Linked DNA regions of Schizosaccharomyces pombe. The gene in region 4 interacts genetically with the main gene of each other region. Each region holds a gene or a part of one and is shown on either strand. Other genes may lie near its edges. The genes, in order: mso1, SPOM_SPCC622.03C, ivn1 and ste20.

What was found.
Region 1: mutations in ste20 (region 4) and mso1 together harm fitness more than expected from each alone (negative genetic interaction), as found in Schizosaccharomyces pombe (one large-scale study listed by BioGRID).
Region 2: mutations in ste20 (region 4) and SPOM_SPCC622.03C together harm fitness more than expected from each alone (negative genetic interaction), as found in Schizosaccharomyces pombe (one large-scale study listed by BioGRID).
Region 3: mutations in ste20 (region 4) and ivn1 together harm fitness more than expected from each alone (negative genetic interaction), as found in Schizosaccharomyces pombe (one large-scale study listed by BioGRID).

The regions. Positions count from the first base shown.
Region 1 is NC_003424.3:279,864-283,304, forward strand, and holds mso1 (exocytic docking protein Mso1), read left to right. Parts: upstream 1-1,957; 5' UTR 1,958-2,085; coding exon 2,086-2,541; 3' UTR 2,542-2,882; downstream 2,883-3,441. Other genes in the region: lsh1 (protein Lhs1), read right to left, coding at 1-1,282.
Region 2 is NC_003421.2:1,404,359-1,408,135, reverse strand, and holds SPOM_SPCC622.03C (uncharacterized protein), read left to right. Parts: upstream 1-1,768; coding exon 1,769-2,167; 3' UTR 2,168-2,676; coding exon of another isoform or gene 2,677-3,060; 3' UTR 3,061-3,269; downstream 3,270-3,777. Other genes in the region: SPOM_SPCC622.04 (uncharacterized protein), read right to left, coding at 1,037-1,459; SPOM_SPCC622.02 (uncharacterized protein), read right to left, coding at 2,677-3,060; SPOM_SPCC622.01C (uncharacterized protein), read left to right, coding at 3,381-3,777.
Region 3 is NC_003423.3:1,495,365-1,499,149, forward strand, and holds ivn1 (aminophospholipid translocase regulatory protein Ivn1), read right to left. Parts: upstream 2,192-3,785; 5' UTR 2,128-2,191; coding exon 2,075-2,127; exon of another isoform or gene 2,017-2,074; coding exon 1,878-2,016; exon of another isoform or gene 1,733-1,877; intron 1,656-1,732; coding exon 732-1,655; 3' UTR 560-731; downstream 1-559. Other genes in the region: sws1 (SWIM domain-containing Srs2-interacting protein 1), read left to right, coding at 1-417; protein wwm1, read left to right, coding at 3,437-3,785. UniProt on the Schizosaccharomyces pombe protein: Accessory component of a P4-ATPase flippase complex which catalyzes the hydrolysis of ATP coupled to the transport of aminophospholipids from the lumenal to the cytosolic leaflet of membranes and ensures the maintenance of asymmetric distribution of phospholipids.
Region 4 is NC_003423.3:2,473,868-2,481,010, forward strand, and holds ste20 (target of rapamycin complex 2 subunit ste20), read left to right. Parts: upstream 1-2,011; 5' UTR 2,012-2,271; coding exon 2,272-6,201; 3' UTR 6,202-6,595; downstream 6,596-7,143. Other genes in the region: SPOM_SPBC12C2.03C (methionine synthase reductase), read left to right, coding at 1-1,478; SPOM_SPBC12C2.01C (uncharacterized protein), read left to right, coding at 7,064-7,143. UniProt on the Schizosaccharomyces pombe protein: Component of TORC2, which regulates multiple cellular processes to control cell growth in response to environmental signals. TORC2 is required for cell survival under various stress conditions.

The DNA.
Region 1 (3,441 bases), on a different chromosome or scaffold from region 4:
TATCTTGAACAATTAAAGGCTTTACACGGAAGCTTTTAGTTAAAGAAGCACCATAGAATGCAGCTCCTTTCACAGACGCTTCGTCAGCATTCACGTTCTTTGATATTTTATCAGAAGAAACATAATCAGCAAGAGTAGATTGGATAAATGGAATACGAGAGGCTCCTCCAAACAAGATAATAGAGTTAATTTCGGAAAATGTGAGATTTGCTTTTTTAAGTGCTTTATTAATAGGCTCTACAGCTGCATCTTCCATATCCTTACAAAGCGATTCTAAGACTGATCGAGTTATTTTCAGTCGAAAATCGATACCGTCAGCTAACTCTTCAATAGAAGCAATGGCCTCTGAATTAGCAGATAATATATGCTTAACGCGCAATGCTTCTTTCTCAAGGCGTGCTAGAGCACGATGATTGTGAGATAAATCTATGCCATGTTTCTGATAAAATGAATTTTTCATAAAACCAATCAGCTTTCTATTGATTTCATTCCCAGAAAGCTTCAACGTAAATCCACTTGCCAAAGCACGAATACGTGTGATGTTTTGCTTTTTACCTAGTGAAGATCCCTCTACCGTATCAAAAGATATTACCGTTGCTGAAGTGGAGCCAGAGCCTGAGTCGTAAATGATGTTGTAAGTGGGATCAGTCGAAAAACTACGAGAGAGTGAATACTCTATGGCAACAGCCACATTATCATCAATGAGGGCCAAAACATGTTTGTTGAGAATACGTGCCGCTTCAAGAAGAATTGAGCGTTGAAGTTCATTGAAATGAGGTGGAACAGTCAACACCAAATCAGTAATTTTTTCATGTGCCATTTCTTCAGCCAGTGATATATAATGTTCCATGGTCATGGCAATAATTTCTTCCAAAGAGTAATTTTCCTCGTCAGAGATTACAAAGGATATACCAGAAGTAGTTTCTTCATTCTCGACTAATTGAATTGCAGGATAAGAACTTTGATATTTCTGTACTAAGACAGATTCAAGACCAGCTGTATCAAGAAGCTCCTTAACATTACGAATGGAATGAGCAGGAAACCTGGTAGCCAAGTTGGAAGCATCAACACCAAAAATACGTTCATTGCCTTTAAAAGCAACGGCACTTTGTTCCTTACGTCTAGTGTCTTTCGTCAATACAATTTCAAGAGGAATTCCAGGCTTAATGAGGGCCGCTTTAGTCCATTCTGTGCCGTAATCAATTGCTAATACTGATGAAGCAAAAGCATGCCAAAATTGACAGGAAAAAAATAAAATAATTGTGAGCACGGAGCGCTTCATCAAAATTCCGAAAAGTTTTCAAAATCAACGATATAGCGAAGACAGCCCTTTCTTGGAGGTAGATAGATTACACAGTGGGGTGTTGTTAAGCGTGAGAGTATGATGGCTCAACTCCAAAAATGCACTCAGCTTTGTGAACGCAGAACAACTAATATATACGATATCCTTATTTAGTTTTCGTAGTGAATACATATTAAGGGCGAGGCTCTTTTTCACCGACATATATTTAATTTAAAGAAATTTTTATTGTAGATACTAGTTTATGATTTTTGGAAGACTACAAGTAGTAAAATTAAAACTTACCTAACTATTTTAAAACTACATTTTCGTAGTCCATTTAGAAATTATGTATACCTTAATTAGCTACTACATAGTAAGATTGCTCAGTATTGATTTTGTTTACCAAGCTTTTCATCGTTCATTCTTTTTTTTAGCCGATTTCATGCATCATCTTCGAGAGTATCTAAATTAAATGTTTAAATCCACCCACAAATTATTTTTATTTGTAAGATATTAATCAATTGGACATTTGCAATAAAATTATCTATTTATGTGCTGATTTTACATTCGTTAAAACATATAATGTAGTTCATGGTCGTGTTATTAATCACTTTAGACAGTTTAGCGAGTTGGCGTCTTTATGAAATCCGCGTCGCCAGATATTAAGCCGTTCTTGGCATCATAATAATGGCTAAACTTTTTTATTAATTACTTTTATTGAAATTTTTTGAATTCAAATGCCAAGGTTCTTTAAAATTTAGAGATTAAGTAGTACATAAAGAAACGCGAACTCTCGATTCATCATGTGGTCAAAGTTATCGATTTCTTCAAAAATTAATCGTATTCGCGACCCTGAAAGCGATAATACGATTGAAGATACTCACGTTGCTCGTGTAATGAGAAAATACTATATGGACAAAATTGGGACATTACCTGAATGGCTTCGTCCTCCTGGATGGCAGCCTCCAGTTAACACAGGACCTACTTCCCCAGTTAGCATAAATGCAAGTAATGCGGCTCCTTCAAATTTAAAAGCTTCATATATTCCGGCCAATCCTAGGAGGCTATCGTCCTCCACTTCCTCTGCTTCGTCTCCCCCTTTACGACGATTACCTTCTGTTCAACATAGTACCTTTGACGATTTGTTTGAAGGTGTCGGAAGTCTTCAAAAATCACCTTCCACCACGAAACCTCTTTCCTCTACACCTTCCGGCTCATTGCTACGGTCAAAATTTGATCACACTAGAAAGAAGTTTTAGTTGACACAACGATACCTTTACTTTACTCTCATTGGTATCTGTTAATGGCGTATTAATGATCAAAACGACTTTTTGTTTCTTTGAAAATGCTGTTACTACGTATGTGTTATTCTCAACCTCGTTTGTTAATAACTAAGCCCATCTTACCCAGAAGTTCGACATTTGTCAGTACAGAGGCATAATTACTTATTTTACAACTTTGAGTTAGCTCACCTTTTCTGGTTTTTCCTTTAGTAATTATTTTTGGAATGACCTGACAATAAGGTGCACTATCCTAAGCAACTCGCCTTTAGTTTGAGAACTATCATTTAGTCTAATTAAATAACCATCACATGTTCTTTATGTTTCTAACCGGATTGTAGCTTTAAAAATTAAACTGTTCAAAAAGCGCTTGGTAGAATTAAAGCTAGTAGCTGAAATCAATTCAACATTATAAAAACTTATCGTTACATACAGCGCATCGTATAGGTTTCTTTAATTTCTAACTCGAACACTTAGGGACGAATTGTGAAAATTCGTTATTGTAATTTAATATGGTATGTAAATAAAAGCACCAATGGATTCGTTCTTGTGATTCTCGTTTATTTGCAAATTTCTGGTTATATTTAGCTCAACGTGACAACAAAATATGTTACGAATGCTTTGTAAGTAAAAATGATCTTCACGAATGTATTTTCTCATTGAACAACGTTTTAAGCAACCAGAAACCGCATCCAAATGCAGACTAGACTTACAAGACGAGAATTTCGATTATCCTAAAAATAAAATTTAATACGCTATAACGCAATTTAACCATTATAATATTAGATATATCGAAGTTTCATTTCCTTTCAACTTACTTGTTCGCAAGTATACGTATTATCTTAGATCATTTAAGCCATCCCAACCCTTACTCGCTAA
Region 2 (3,777 bases), on a different chromosome or scaffold from region 4:
CAATGTGAACGGCACGTGTCACAAGAAACAAGAAAAATAGAACGTTCAAAGACCAAGTAAAAATATTGGCAAAAATTGTGAACGCGGTTTATAGATTAACTCCTTCATTTCGACTCAACGTTCAATGCCTCTATCAATTAAAACGAATACAAATGAATACTTAAACAAGTTTAGCAAGAAATGGAAGCTATTTAAAAAAATGTCCAGCAAAATTCAAAAAATAAAACAGTAAAAAGTGAGGTTTGTGGAAAGAAAAGTCCGTAAATGTAACTCTTAACTAAATTGTGAAACCCCTGGTCTGGTTTAAATATTTAAATCATCAACCACAGAGAAAGATTTTCCTATTATTCGACTTGAATTGATAGCAATATTTCAATCTGATAACTGAATTGATTTTCAGACATTAGAAGAACTTTGTTGACGTGGCTATTTTGCTTGTATCATATATGATGAGTCCAAGTGAATCCATTAAACTGTACGAATTCCAGTCGCTGCATTGAGGTACTGCGTACGAAAAACTGATTGAGAAAAAATCAGATGAAATTTCAAAGGGACATCACGAAAACTATTTATGGTTTGGATTTCTTCCTGGACTATGCTACGTGGATTTCCGCTTACTCATTATGATAGCAATTATGTCTGATGGCTTTAAGTCTCTTAAAACCGTGAAAGTAGATGTGTCAGATTTAACAGTAGATTTCATTCTCAGTTGTTAGCTTGCTATTCTATAATTCTCGAAAGCTCAAATTGAGATTCGACGAGGAGAAGTTGAGGAGTTTCAAAGGGATCTTGAACAAGAGAATAACTTTTCTTCTGATTACATTCAAATGAGTGACATTACACCTGTATACTAATAATTTGAGAATACATTCAATATGGTAGTTCAAAATGGAAAAATAAATAAAATACAAATTCTTTAATTTCTTTTGTTTTAAAGAAAAAAAATTGTCACACCAAGGAAGAATATAAATAATAAACCTATAAACATAACACAAAACAAAAACAAGGTCGATGCAAATGCCAAATGGATACAAAATTAACTAGATTCAAGAATTGTTAAGCCCTCTCGCGTATTTTTTTCTTTTTCTAGTTCAACTGCAGAGGATGAGGCGTACTCTAAAGGTTCATTAGATTGACTTTTAAGGAAATCCTGATTCTTTGACTCTTGCTTCTTTCGATAGTCAGGTTCAGCTTCCGGCTTAGGAATACTATTCAAATAATGAAATCCCATAAAACTTACAAGAAGAATTATTAAAGTCAAGAAAAAATAGACGAATAATAATGAATGACTAAATCCCTCAAAATAATACTTAACATCAACAACACAATTGGCAAAAATTATGAAAAGGAAAACGTACAAGAGCCATTGAGTTTTTTTAAACACATCGTTCGCAACATCTGAACACTCCCTATAGGTAAAATCCTCCTTGATAACTATTTCAATGTCAGGTTGTGTCATGTTGATAAATATAACACAAAATTTAGCAGATATTGGCCAGAAAATGAAAATGCTTTTGCATAAGAAGAATAAATATTTATCAAATAATACAGAATATTTAGGTCGGGATTGTGTAGGCAGAGAAATTGAATATATTGGTTGAATATCAAAATCGTTAAACCTCTGGTCTTGCGCTCCAATTACTCATTAACAACGATTGTCGAAATCCTTTGACTTTTAAGCATTTTATTTCATATTAATATTTTTTCGCAATTTTTCTTGTTTTTAAACGGATTTGTTCAAACTAGCTGTTTTGCCTCCCACAAAAATATGAATCCAAAGAAATCCATTCAACTATGGGAACTCCAGTCGTTACTTAAAGGTGCCACATACAAAAAACTAATTGAAAAGAAAACGTATGAAGCCGGTAAGGAACGAGCTGATAATTATGACTTTTTGTTTATGTCTTTTATCTCCTTCATCGTGTCTTGCCGTCTTTTCATTCTTGTGTTTACTTTCATCTTTAAAGGTTTTCCATCAGCTATTCAAGTAATTGCTATGATCGATGCTGTCGTAAATGCTTTACTCATACTCATAGTACTTGCGATGCTCTTTATAGGTTCTCGTAAACTGACAGTTGAAATTCGACGAGGTGAAGTTGAGGACTTTCAAGAGAATCTTAAAGCAAGAGAAGATACATTCAACTCTTCTCCATATCAGAGGTATTAATAACACCTTCATATATCGCTTTTGGGCACCTATTCCTTTACGCCTGTTTCACTTTGTTATAAAATATTTCGTTTCCATTCCGCTGCCTTTAATCTTATTACTCCTTTAATATTTATTCAACATTTAAGTCACTACTAATCTAAAAATTAACTTAATAATTCAATACTATTTTTATCTAAAACGTATTCGTTTCATAAACTTGTCTCGTAATGCGAAATGGAAGTGTGTTGAATACATCGACCCTGAACGAACTCATCTTCCAAAATTTAGAGCACTGTTCGATATACTGGTTTGTACTATTCCTATATTTTCGACACCTCTTCATATTTCATTTTGAACTTCAATTCATTTAATATATCATTCACAGATTAATTAATAAAATACAAATTATCATCTATTCTACATGTCTGCCTCAAAAACTCGGCTCACAATGTCACCGATTATGGCATTCTCCTTATTATATTAGACAAGCACTTCAAAAACATAATTGAAACAAAATATACGGCCAATTAAGGTGCTTCTTGAGCGGGACTGGACATTTGTTGCATAGGAATTTGCACCAAATCCTCTGGAACGGTGACTTTAAGCGGATGTTTCGACAAGAAATAGTAAAGGATGTTTCCAACAAGCATCAACGTAGAGCACAAAATTATGGGCAACCCGTGCTCCATTGTGTCTTTCCTGGATGAAGGATGCGACATTTCTCGAATGAAAGCGATCAGGCAGTAAATGAACGCAATTCCGAGCCCAGCAAAGTTACTAATCAAAAGAGGAAGTGTGTATTGAAATTTGTTTAAAGAGGACACCCATAACTTGTGAGAAACTTCTGGGTCTGGGGAAGAATTCGGTGTATTATCAATAATTGCTTCAAGTTTCGAGATATTTGCTGCCATCGTGAAACTGTTCAGCAGAAAGAAAAGAATCAAAACAGATGTCCAAGAATAGAAAAAAAGAAAAGAAAATCAAACTGTGAATGTCGCTCCTTCAGCGCTTTCCAACACCGGATTTCTTGCTTCGGGTAGGTAGGGTTCAAGGACATTTTCCACATTTGGGCTAACCGCAGTATCCTCCCTCTTTACTCAGTGTAGCAGCGGGTATAGTGAAAACCACATCGGAATGACGTTGTTGTAATAAAAAATACCTGAAAACTTTACTTTGACTTTTTGAAACGTACTTATTCCTAATTCCTTCCTGTAAATTCACTTTTCCTACGATGACTGTGGATAATGTATTCATCCATGCCGTCCCTCGCGAGCAAATTCGACGACGTTACTCTTACTTCGAAGCATTTGAAAAGAATTGTCATATACAAGGAATTCTTTCAAAACGAGCTCTTTACATGCTAATCCCATGCTTCATGGAGTTTGCGGTTGGCTCCATCGTTTATAGTTTTGGTGTGCCGGGATGGGTGTTGGGAATGAATACTGTGTTGGCGGCTGGATTCCTTGTGATGTTCCTGTTCCTTGTGTGGCCGTGTTTTCAACTTGTAGATGAAAGACAAATTGAGGAACCGGGAGAAGATGAAATGGCGCTCAATGCCGGTGGTTATTATCCTTATGCCGAAGAGGTACCTCCTCCCAGTTATCCATCGCTCGAAGAGGAGAACGAAG
Region 3 (3,785 bases), 980 kb from region 4:
AAAGCGCTCCAACAGTCACCCAACACCTCTTTGTCAAAATTACTGTTGGAAGACCAGGATTTTGGAAGCTTGTGGTTGTCATTAAGTTTTATATTTTGTAACTACTGGCAACCTGCTATGCTGATTTTGGATTCTAAAAGCATTCATCCACTACCATTAACCGATGGTGAAGTTTTACATCGATGGGAATGTGAAGTGGATTCGAATAATAAAACTACGATTGATTTGAAGTATTGGTATTGTTCATGCTCTCAATTCTCTTACAATGCTTTTAATAGCTCGAGATCTTTTGACGAGCCAATGCCCAAAAATGAGCAAGAAACCTGGGGTGGAAGATGTCTTTCCCACCACCCTACGATTTGTTCCCATATTTTAGCTGCTTCGATTTTACGTGCTTGCCATAATCTGGTAATTTAAAAAACGTTAACCCAATTCGTTTAATTGTGACTTGACTATGATATTTAACAGTAAGGGCCGTTTAAATTGCTTTCTCAATGTAAAAGAAGAAAATACGATATGATATTCATACAACGTGATTAAAAAAAAATGTCTTATTCAGATTATGTTATGCTTTAGTTATGATGCAAGTTCATGAACCCTGAACTGGTATAAAAAAGAGAATATTGTAAGTGGAAGACGAAGCTAGCATAAGTGATTAAATGGAAAGTAAATTCCAAAATGTTCATGAAGTAGTATATGTAAAAATAAATGGTAAAGATACTCAAATTCGTTTATGAGCTTTTTCCTCTATTCCAAGATAGATATCTTGGATCGCCTACGCGTCTAGGTTTGATCAAGCAAGCAATACTAAGGATTACACCGCTCGCGGCGCAGAGCCCACCGATAACAAAATAAAGAATTCCTAAAAAGTAGTTCTTTCCTCCAATAACGGATGTTGTTGAAAACATAATAGTTTTCGTTCCTTTATATTCTGTGACAGGAAAGTTATAAGTGATATTCATTTCATAAATGCCAGGTTGAAGTGCAGTAGTAACGTTTCGAAGAGCAAGTTTGCTGAATGTTGGAAGAGCAGCAGCTCTCATCCAAATTTGAAAGGCATCCCATGTAGAAACATCGGGAATATTGTCGTCAGTATATCCATTGGGAAACATTTTTGCCCAATTTGGAGGTGGAACAATTTGGGAAGCATTGTACTTAGTTTTTTTGTATCTTTCTCTATCTTCCGGCCACGCAGTACCATTTGTAGTCATATTGTAAAGTCCAAGGGAATTTGAGCTATCAAAGGATTCGTATCGTAGAAGAGAAGAATAGCTATCGTTGAAAAGCGAGTTTGCGATAATGCCACAGGGGTAATAAGGTTTCCCTTCCTCATTTGCTTCTAACGGCTTGCAGAAACCATAGCTCTTCAGTTGTGCAACAGTTCGTGCTTCGCCTAGCAACTGAAACATATCGGCGCTAACAGTATATCGACGATGGTTTTGATAAAAATTTTTGAGACGATAAAAAGCAAACACGGGACTCGTCATTTCCTCAGGTATTTGGAAACGAAGAGTACATACATCGCCTGATGATTTCCACATCGCTGTTACATTTTTTACATTTTTATATTGGAACTCAATATTCGTGGAAGGAACTTGTTTAAACTCATCGCCTATATTCATGCAATCAGTATAGTCAATTCGCAGCTCTTTGACCTAATAAAATGTTGATTAGCAAATGATCTAGAAAAAATGATATTTTCGGTAACGTTCGGGCTACACGTGTGCTAACACCGACAAAGGATAAGGCTATAATCAGATAAAAATTATTCGCAAATAATCATATCTTTCCAAAATACAGTAATGTATTGCAAAATATACCCAGTTTATCAATTTGAAACATATAGCTCTATGGAAACGCGTGATGCTTAGACTTACCCGTCGACTGGCCACAAACATGCCAGCTCCCAAAGGAGCAAACACTATGCCTAATAAGAATAATAACGGCAAGACTGTCCATGGTGTGAATATAAACTGCCAAGCAGGAAGTGTTTGCTGAACAAACCGAGATTTGTCACTACATACGGATCAGTAAACCAATTTGCCAAAAAACGAATGTAATCAAGACAACTTACGGGCGCTTAAATCTCTTATGCTTTGGTTTTTTAACTATTTCTGTTTGACTCATAGTATATAATCAGGCATTCAACAATGCTTACGAATATGAAGAATGCAAGATTAACTTGGTCCTTGGTAAAAGTGCGAGACTGCGCAAAACTCCATCATCACCTTACTCTCTCGCTGTCACTTGGGTTAGCAGGTTATATGACACAATTTATATGTAAACACAGAGAAAAAAGCATTGATTACAAAAGATATCAAAGTTATTTCATAGTAAATAACTCGTATAGTATTGATTTCCTAAAAGCATTTTTTTTTTGGGTGAAATTTTGAATGACTTATTAAGTTCATTGCTTATAATCGTATATGAAATCGCTAATAGCAGCTGCAGTGAATCAATAAAAAACCTTTCTTATTTTTAATTATGTTAATTATAATTTTTTTGTAGCCGTTTATACACAGTATTCTTGAAAAGATTATTTCAGCCGATGGATTAATGAAATAAATAGCAATTTTCCATGCGGTGAAAAAGGAAATCAAATAATATACCCGCTTGTATTCAAGGTTTTTATAAATCAAATCAGTGGAATATTCACCATCATCAGAAAAAGTTTTTTTAAATAATGAATGACATTCACAAGACACAGGATTCACCGCCGTACCCTTTTTATCCATAAAATTAGAATCATATCATTTTGCTCTTCATGATTTAGTTTATGTTGTTAGAAGGGGGTTTCCAGCGTGGTGATTCAATTTTTATTCTAAGCTTTATAAAGTTTTGTTCGGCGGTTTTCAAAGTAATGTTTAAGAGTGATGAACTTATCCGCTTCTTCACTTCTTTGAGACTTTCAATTACCTGTATAATATCTGTAGATTTGTAGAAACAGCTAAGTATCGCTATATGAATATTGATTACTTACATTGCTCAAGTAGTTTCGTTATAATGTAATGTAATAGATAACAAATTTAAAAAAAAACTGCCTATAAGAATCACTGTATAGCTGAATATTAGTTTAAGAAATTAAGCATACTAGTGGCACCTTTCACCACGAATAGCTCCATGACTGCTGCTAGCATCAAACTTCTCCAACCTTCTTATCGATCTTAACCACTATAATTATCTCACCATCATACGCGGAATTTCATTTATTTGATCAATTGCTTTTTCATTTGCAAAAGGCCAACTATCTAGAAGTATTCTTTCTCTTTCCATTTGTTGTTACCATTACTTCTTGCGTACAGAGCAGATAGAAGTATTAGAATTCATTTATTTTTTGTTAACTGTCTTTTTTACCAAAAAAATTATTTTTTAAGATATTCCCTTCATTCCAAACTTTTCTCTCAATTTATACTCAACATATTTCTTAAATTCCATTATGGCTTATCAAACTCGTGAAGGTCTCCCTAATGGCTGGGTCGCTCAGTGGGATGAACGCTACAAGTGTTACTTTTATGTTAATGAAAGTGATCCCAAAGCAAAGCCGCAATGGGAATGTCCGGTCCGTGGTTTAACTATTCCACCACCTCCTTCGGTGGACCACTCTGCTCCCCCAAGTGGACCGCCTCCTTCTTATTCCAACTCAGCCGCTCCTGCCACTCCTGCCGCTTCTGCTTCTTCTGCTGCTCCTGCTCCTGCTCCCGCAGCTTCCCAAAACAGAGCATACGGGGCCGCTCCACAGCCTTATCCCCCTCAGGGCGGTTATCCTCAACAACCATATTATTATC
Region 4 (7,143 bases):
GTCTTCTACATGAAAATATTACTCTTGACAGAATTCCCAAAGTTCCCGAGAATCATGTCTCTTTGATTGATATCGATGAGGCTCGTGCCAAAGAAGACCCCAACTTTCAAATTCATTCAACTCCTTCTAGAATGCCTCCTCACTATGTTCAACCACACCCTCCGTTCAGTGTCTTTCCCGCCCCTATACTAGACGTTCGTGAGCTCACTAAACCAGGTGCTGTCAAACGTGTGTTCCATTTTGAACTAGACGTTTCCAACTATCCCCTTCCTGAAGGCGAAGAGTGGATGGTTGGAGGGTCGTTTGGTGTAATGGCTCCCAACAACGAAGAGGATGTGGATGAGCTTTTACAATTACTTCATATCAATCCCGACCAGGCAGATGCCCCTGTCCTTTTAAAAACCGATGGAGGTCGTTGGCCCACCATCTGGGCAGAAGACACACCTAGAGAACTCGTTACAACCAGGCGTGAGCTTCTTAAATGGACCGTGGAGTTTATGTCTGTCGCCCCAAAAAAGCAGCTTATTCGGTTACTTGCCGAATACGCCAAGGATGATACCGAGCGGCAAGTTTTGTTGTTTTTGGTCAGTCGTTTGGGACAACGTGCTTTCTGTGATTTAAGGGACCACAACGTTACACTTATCACTCTGCTAAAGGCTTTCCCTAGTGTTCAACTTCCTCTTGATCACCTTTTAACCGTGCTTCCCCAGCTTATGCCTAGATGGTATTCTTTGTCAAACGATCCCAAGGTCAGTAATAATGTATTGGAATTTGCGGTTACAGTTGTTGAAATCAATAAAGTTGAAGGAGGCACTCGTTCTGGTATTGGTTCTGGTTTTTTGAAAAGATTGGCATTGAGATTTTTAAATGGTGAACGAGATCTCGTCCTTCCAATGTACCGCGGTCTGCACAAAAACGCATTTGCCACACATTTTGCTTCTGATGGCCCTATGTGCCTAATCGGTGCCGGTGTAGGTGTTGCTCCCTTTAGAGGTTTTGTGCAACGACGTCTTACAAATGCCACTTGTGCTGGTAAAGTTTGGGTTTTCCATGGATGCCGCGACCAAGAATTGGATGAGCTCTATCATGGTGAGTGGGAAAACCCGCTTCAAAAGTCTTCAGACGATGATGCATCTTCTACAGTCAGCCAACAAACCGAAACTGAAATGGATTCCTTCGAAGTTAAAAAAGACGGTACTAGTGGCCCCAACCATCTTGTTGTTGAATCACGTTCTCACCAACATGCCTATGTACAGGACGAGATTCGACACCGTGGTGACATTGTATGGAGTGTTCTTAGTCATCCTCATGGGAAGGTTTATCTTTGTGGTGGTAAAAAGGGATTTTTAGATGGTGTTGAAAATGCCTTGATTGATGTTTGCGTTCAATACGGAAAAATGAGCAGGCTGGAAGCTACCCAACAACTTGCTCTTTGGCAAAGTCCACTTAACCTTAAATACATAAAGGAGATTTGGTAAATGAATGAAGTTGTTTATCCACGTTACCAATATTTATTTTTTCGTTAAAATTTTTTTTTTGTTTACTATCTTTTCACATTATTTTCGATTCTTTTCTGTCTTTTTTATTATCGTTTCGTTTTAAAAAAATCTTTTTTGAAATGTTTCGAAAGCAATATTTGTATCTCAAAATGGCATTTTAATTCTATATTGGCTTGGGCATATCTGTTAAAACATTTTTTGTTTAGCCTTTTGTTTCCATAAATAAAAATATAAACAAATTTTAATAGTTGATTGTAGTAATATAATTTACTCATCTTATTCTCTTGCTTTGATTTATCCTTCATGTTTTCGTATACTGTTAACTAGCAATCTTGAGACTGTAAAGTAAACATTAAGGATTCGATTCTTTAGTGAACCAGTACCTAGTATCTAATTATTTATTAGCGAATTCTAAGGAAATTTGTTTTGCCCATTAATAGCGAAACATCACTCCATGTCGTACAATCGTTAACGCCGGTAACAGAACTCCGATTAAGTTCAGCCGTTGGGGTATCCATGAGCATACGAGCATAGTTCGCAAGCATTATCATTTTAGGACTCTTCACAATCTTAAGTTATTATTTAAGTGTTAATATCTTTAATTTTACTAGATTGCTTAAAAATTGAGAGTTTGACTAGCCCAGTAAGCAATCGCGTGTTGCACGCAATAAGTATTAGTACGAAAACATACTATCCCTTTATAAGGCTATTTCATGAAGGCGCTTATGGAAGGAGATAGCTTTTTTATTCCTGCTTTTAATGATCAGTGCTCATGAAACCTGTGCGAAGGGGACAAACCGATACTGCTTTGGATATAAGTTCCCATGCCAAAACTAATGGTGACTTTATCAAAAAAATGAATACCACTGATTCAAAAAGGCTCAAGTTACTTGAGGATTTGAAGGGAAAGCTCGAAGTTGAGTGCAAAATACGGGATGGCGCTGAAACGTTGCTGCAAGTCTTCGACACCAATTTTAAAAAAGAAACAAAAGAACGTAAAGAAATGTTAAAAAAGAAATGTACCGATGAGCTCGAATCATCTAAAAAAAAGATAGAGGAATTAGTTTCTAGCATTGAATCTTTCCAAGGAGAAAATGGTGAAGCAAAAACTGGCTCAACCAGTCTCACGAGGTCTGCTTCTGCGACTGTCAGTCGAAAGAGCTCATTGCAGGAAAAGTATAGTACGAGATTTTCTTACAAAGCAGGATGTAGCGATAGTTGCAGTGTTACAGTCAGTGGGACTGGTGAATTAATAGGTCCTACCAGAAATGCGCATAGCAATTTAACTCCTACCGTCATTCAAAGAATTGACTTTGAAAATGTCAACGAAAAAAATAATTCTTCTTCTGAAGATACTCAACCTAACGGAAAACGTCCTTCTAGTTTGCAATCGAATTTCTCACAATTTCCATTAAATCCTTGGCTTGATAATATATATAAGGCTTGTCTTGAAGGCAGTATGAAGGATGTAATCGATTCCTCAAATAATTTATGTGAATACTTACATGAACATTCTGATCCCGCTTATGCAAAAAACTTCTCCTTGATTACTCCGACCATACTTTCAATGCTCGAGTTGAATGTCTCTGAAGTTACGGCTTCTGTTTATAGACTACTAAGGCATTTGTTTCTTGACGCAACAGCATTCTCTTGTTGTCAAATGTTGAATTTACCTTGGATCTTGTCAAAGTCTCTACTTTCTGGTACCGATGCATATCAAATTGAACGAGAGCAAGCATTCCGACTAATCCGAACTCTTTATTTTCTTTCATCAACTGAAGGACATGAGGATTATCTTTCAGGTATTACGAGGACTATCATTTCAATTTGTGAGCATGTATCAGATGTTAGTCGTGGAATTGCTGTTGAAACTCTTATCGAGTTAATGATTATTCGACCAAAAATTTTATTTAAAGCTAATGGTTTAAGGGTTTTAATGATCTCCCTAATCGATGGAAGTATTTCTGAGAATTTAGCAGCTAGTGCTGCACTTGCATTAGTATATCTTTTGGATGATCCTGAAAGCGCTTGTTACGTAAATTTACCCTACGATATTGGCATTTTACTTTCACCTTTTACTAGTTCTTCTTCGCGAGATACATTTAATTCCTCTGAGGAACAGTCTGAACAAGCTGCAAAAGCCATGAAATCTTCCGCCAAAGTTGCCTCTGTTTTGCTTAATTCATGGTCTGGATTATTGGCTTTGTCTACCAATGATTTTCAGGCTCTTCGGTCGATTGTTGATACACTTCGGGTTCCATCCTTTGCTCCACGAAGCGATGTAATTGATCTTTTCTTTTTAATTTTCCAAGTTGAGTATTCAAGTTGGTCAGAGTCTTTTTTGGCCGGAAAACGATTAACAGTCGTTAAAAATCAGGCTGTATCTAATGATGATAACATAAACATGGTTAATATACCGGATGGTTCCAACAAAAAGTACATGTCGCTACGCCAACATTTTACAGCCGTCTTATTATTTATATTTTTGGAGCTCGGTTTGGTTGAATCTATTGTATGTATGATTAGGGCCAGCGATGACCCATCAGCCTCACGTAAAGCTACATATCTTCTAGGAGAGGTATTGAGGCTGTCTGATGAGCTACTGCCGATTCATTTAGGAGCCAAAATACAATCCTTGCCATCTTTATTTAATATGGCTTCTCAATTTACTGCCGAAGACAGGTTTGTTGCCACTTCTGTTCTTCAATCCATTGAAAGTTTGAATAGAGTTAAATTCCATTCTGCAACACAACCTTTCTCGCAGACAACCTCTCTTCTTTTTAAGGAGCAAAAAACTGATGGATCTTTTCGGGGGCAAAGACAGGTTGAGCATGTTAAATTGAAAATGGGCATGCAGATTGATGATTCACATTTTCGTAGTATGCTAGCTGAAACCAACGTGTTAGCTACAAAAAACTATCAAAAATGGCGATGGGATACACTTGTCCAAATTATGGAGGGTCCATTGCTAAGTCCGAAACGTATTGATGAAACTTTGCGAACCACAAAATTTATGAGACGGCTTTTAGCATTTTATAAACCCTTTTCCAACAGATTTTCTTCCATACAAAACACTAAACCAAATCAAAAATTTATAAAGGTTGGTTGTCTTGTTTTCAGGACTTTACTAGCCAATCCGGAAGGCGTTAAATATCTTTCTGAAAGCAAAGTGATTAAACAAATAGCAGAATCTCTTAGCCAGATAGACGGATATTCAGAACAGGTTTCTGAGCCGATTTTCTCGAACAGTAGGCTTCAGAAAACCCTCACCCACGGTTACTTTCCTATGTTAAAAGTATTGTCAAGCCAAAAGGAAGGTCATGCAATTATGGAACGATGGAGGATTTTTACTACACTTTACCATTTGACAGAATTGAGGAACAGAGACGATCTCATAATTATTTTTCTGACTAATCTTGATTATCGGCTAGAGGGGCACACACGAATTATATTTTCTAAGGCGCTTAATACCGGGCAACAGGCTGTACGCTTAACTGCAACCAAGCATCTTGCGGCTTTAATCAATTCTGAGTCTGCCAATGACAACTTAAATCACTGGGCAATTTCTCTATTGATATTTCAACTGTACGATCCTTGCTTGGAAGTATGTAAAACAGCAGTGAAGGTGTTGAATGAAGTTTGTGCTCGAAATGAAAACTTGCTGGCTCAAGTTGTTCAGCTTCAACCTTCATTGGCCCATTTGGGTGAAATTGGCTCACCTTTACTTTTACGTTTTCTTGCTACAACTGTCGGATTTCATTACCTTTCTGAAATTAATTTTATTGAACATGAACTCGATAATTGGTACCATCATCGAAATATAGATTACGTGGATTTATTGGAGCAAAATTTTTTCCTTTCTTTTGTTTCAAATCTCAAAATTATTGACAAGAAAAACAATGAACCAGATGAAAATATACTTCCCCTACACTTTTATGGCGAATTAGTCAAATCTCCACAAGGTTGTGAGGTTCTCGAGTCTTCTGGGCATTTTGAATCTTTTATGGGTACCTTGGTGGAATTTTACGATAAACCGTTAGGAAATGAAGCCATCAGGCAGTTAAAGAGTGCTCTTTGGGCTATAGGAAACATTGGAAAAACCGATCAGGGTATTACGTTTTTAATTAACCATGATACGATACCGTTGATTGTCAAATATGCCGAAAATTCATTGATTCCTACTGTTCGAGGAACTGCTTATTTTGTATTAGGCTTGATTTCCAGGACTTCTAAAGGCGTTGAGATACTCGAATCACTGCATTGGTATAGCCTTATGTCTTTAATGGGCACTTCACAAGGAATTTGCATTCCGAGACATGCTGGACAAGTATTATCAACTCCAAGGAGAAATGTTGAGTTTGTAAATGAGCGCGTGCCAACTCCTGAGTTTTCTTCATTACTTAGCTCTTTAACTAACTCAGAGAGAGAGGTAATTAGGCTCGTTTCCAATTTGTCAAACCATGTTTTAACAAACGAGTCAGCACGGCAACTAACAAAGATTCGTTCGAAAAATGCTAAAGTTTTCTCCTCTAAACGTTTGGTGAAAGCTTGTATGACCATTCTGGGAAAATTCCATTACCGTGTTCAGATTCAACAATTTGTATTTGAATTATTTCCTTACTCGGTTTTATTGTCTTCCTCAACCTCACAGGACTTAAATGAATCCCCGTCCAGGCCGAATAATTTGTCAATTTCCGCATGAACTCCAAATTTCCGAACCTTCACTTTTCTAAAATTTTTGTAAATTAATGATTTTTATGATTTCTTATTATCGTTTTTCTTCTGTTATTCAATAAGTTTGATCTTTAGTTTTCTGCTTATTCTTTGACCTTCCCTCTTTGTTTCTTTTCATAAGTTTATTTACTAAGTTAGACTAGTGTTTACATAAAAGGTGATTGCGCTAGGGTTAGTAATGAGTTTATAATTGTTTTTGGATGTTTAAATTATTAATCTAATATTTATAAGACATGTCTGATACTTGCGGATATTTTTTTGAATTTGTGTAGTTTAGGTAGGCCTGCTTAGCCCCTGGCCTCCATACGATAGTAATATGAACAAGAATATATTGCCTTTCATCTTTTCGTGCTAATTTTTACTTTGTACGCTGTTATTATCAATATAAAAATTGCGTACCACAAAGGTGTACTTATATGTAATACCCATGCTTAGCAAGTTATGCTCAACTTCCACATACAACGTATGCAACGAACGGCAGCCTCATGTTATAGTAAATTAGCAAATCCTATATAACTAAACGAAAGTGTATTTGCTTAACATATCGTGGAGTTTGGGCATATTTCTGCTCACAAGTAAATCTCATACAACATCGCATTTGGTTTTAATTTGTTTTGGTTGTTCGCAAGGAAGAAGATTATTCTTTAAAAAAAAGGAAATAAATTTATAAATATAATTTGAAAAAAAATATATATATATATATTTGGGTTTTTACACTCTTTTGACTACATAACTCGATAGGTTTTCGGATTTGTTTAATAGACAAAAGAAGGAAGTACGTTTAAGGGTTTATTTCTATGGAACATTATTGATTTTTTTTTTTTCTTGCTATGTACAATGTGACATACAGGTTACTTCGTCTAAGCTTGATTTCTTCTCATTCTTTAAGAAAATCACGGTCCTTCGATGT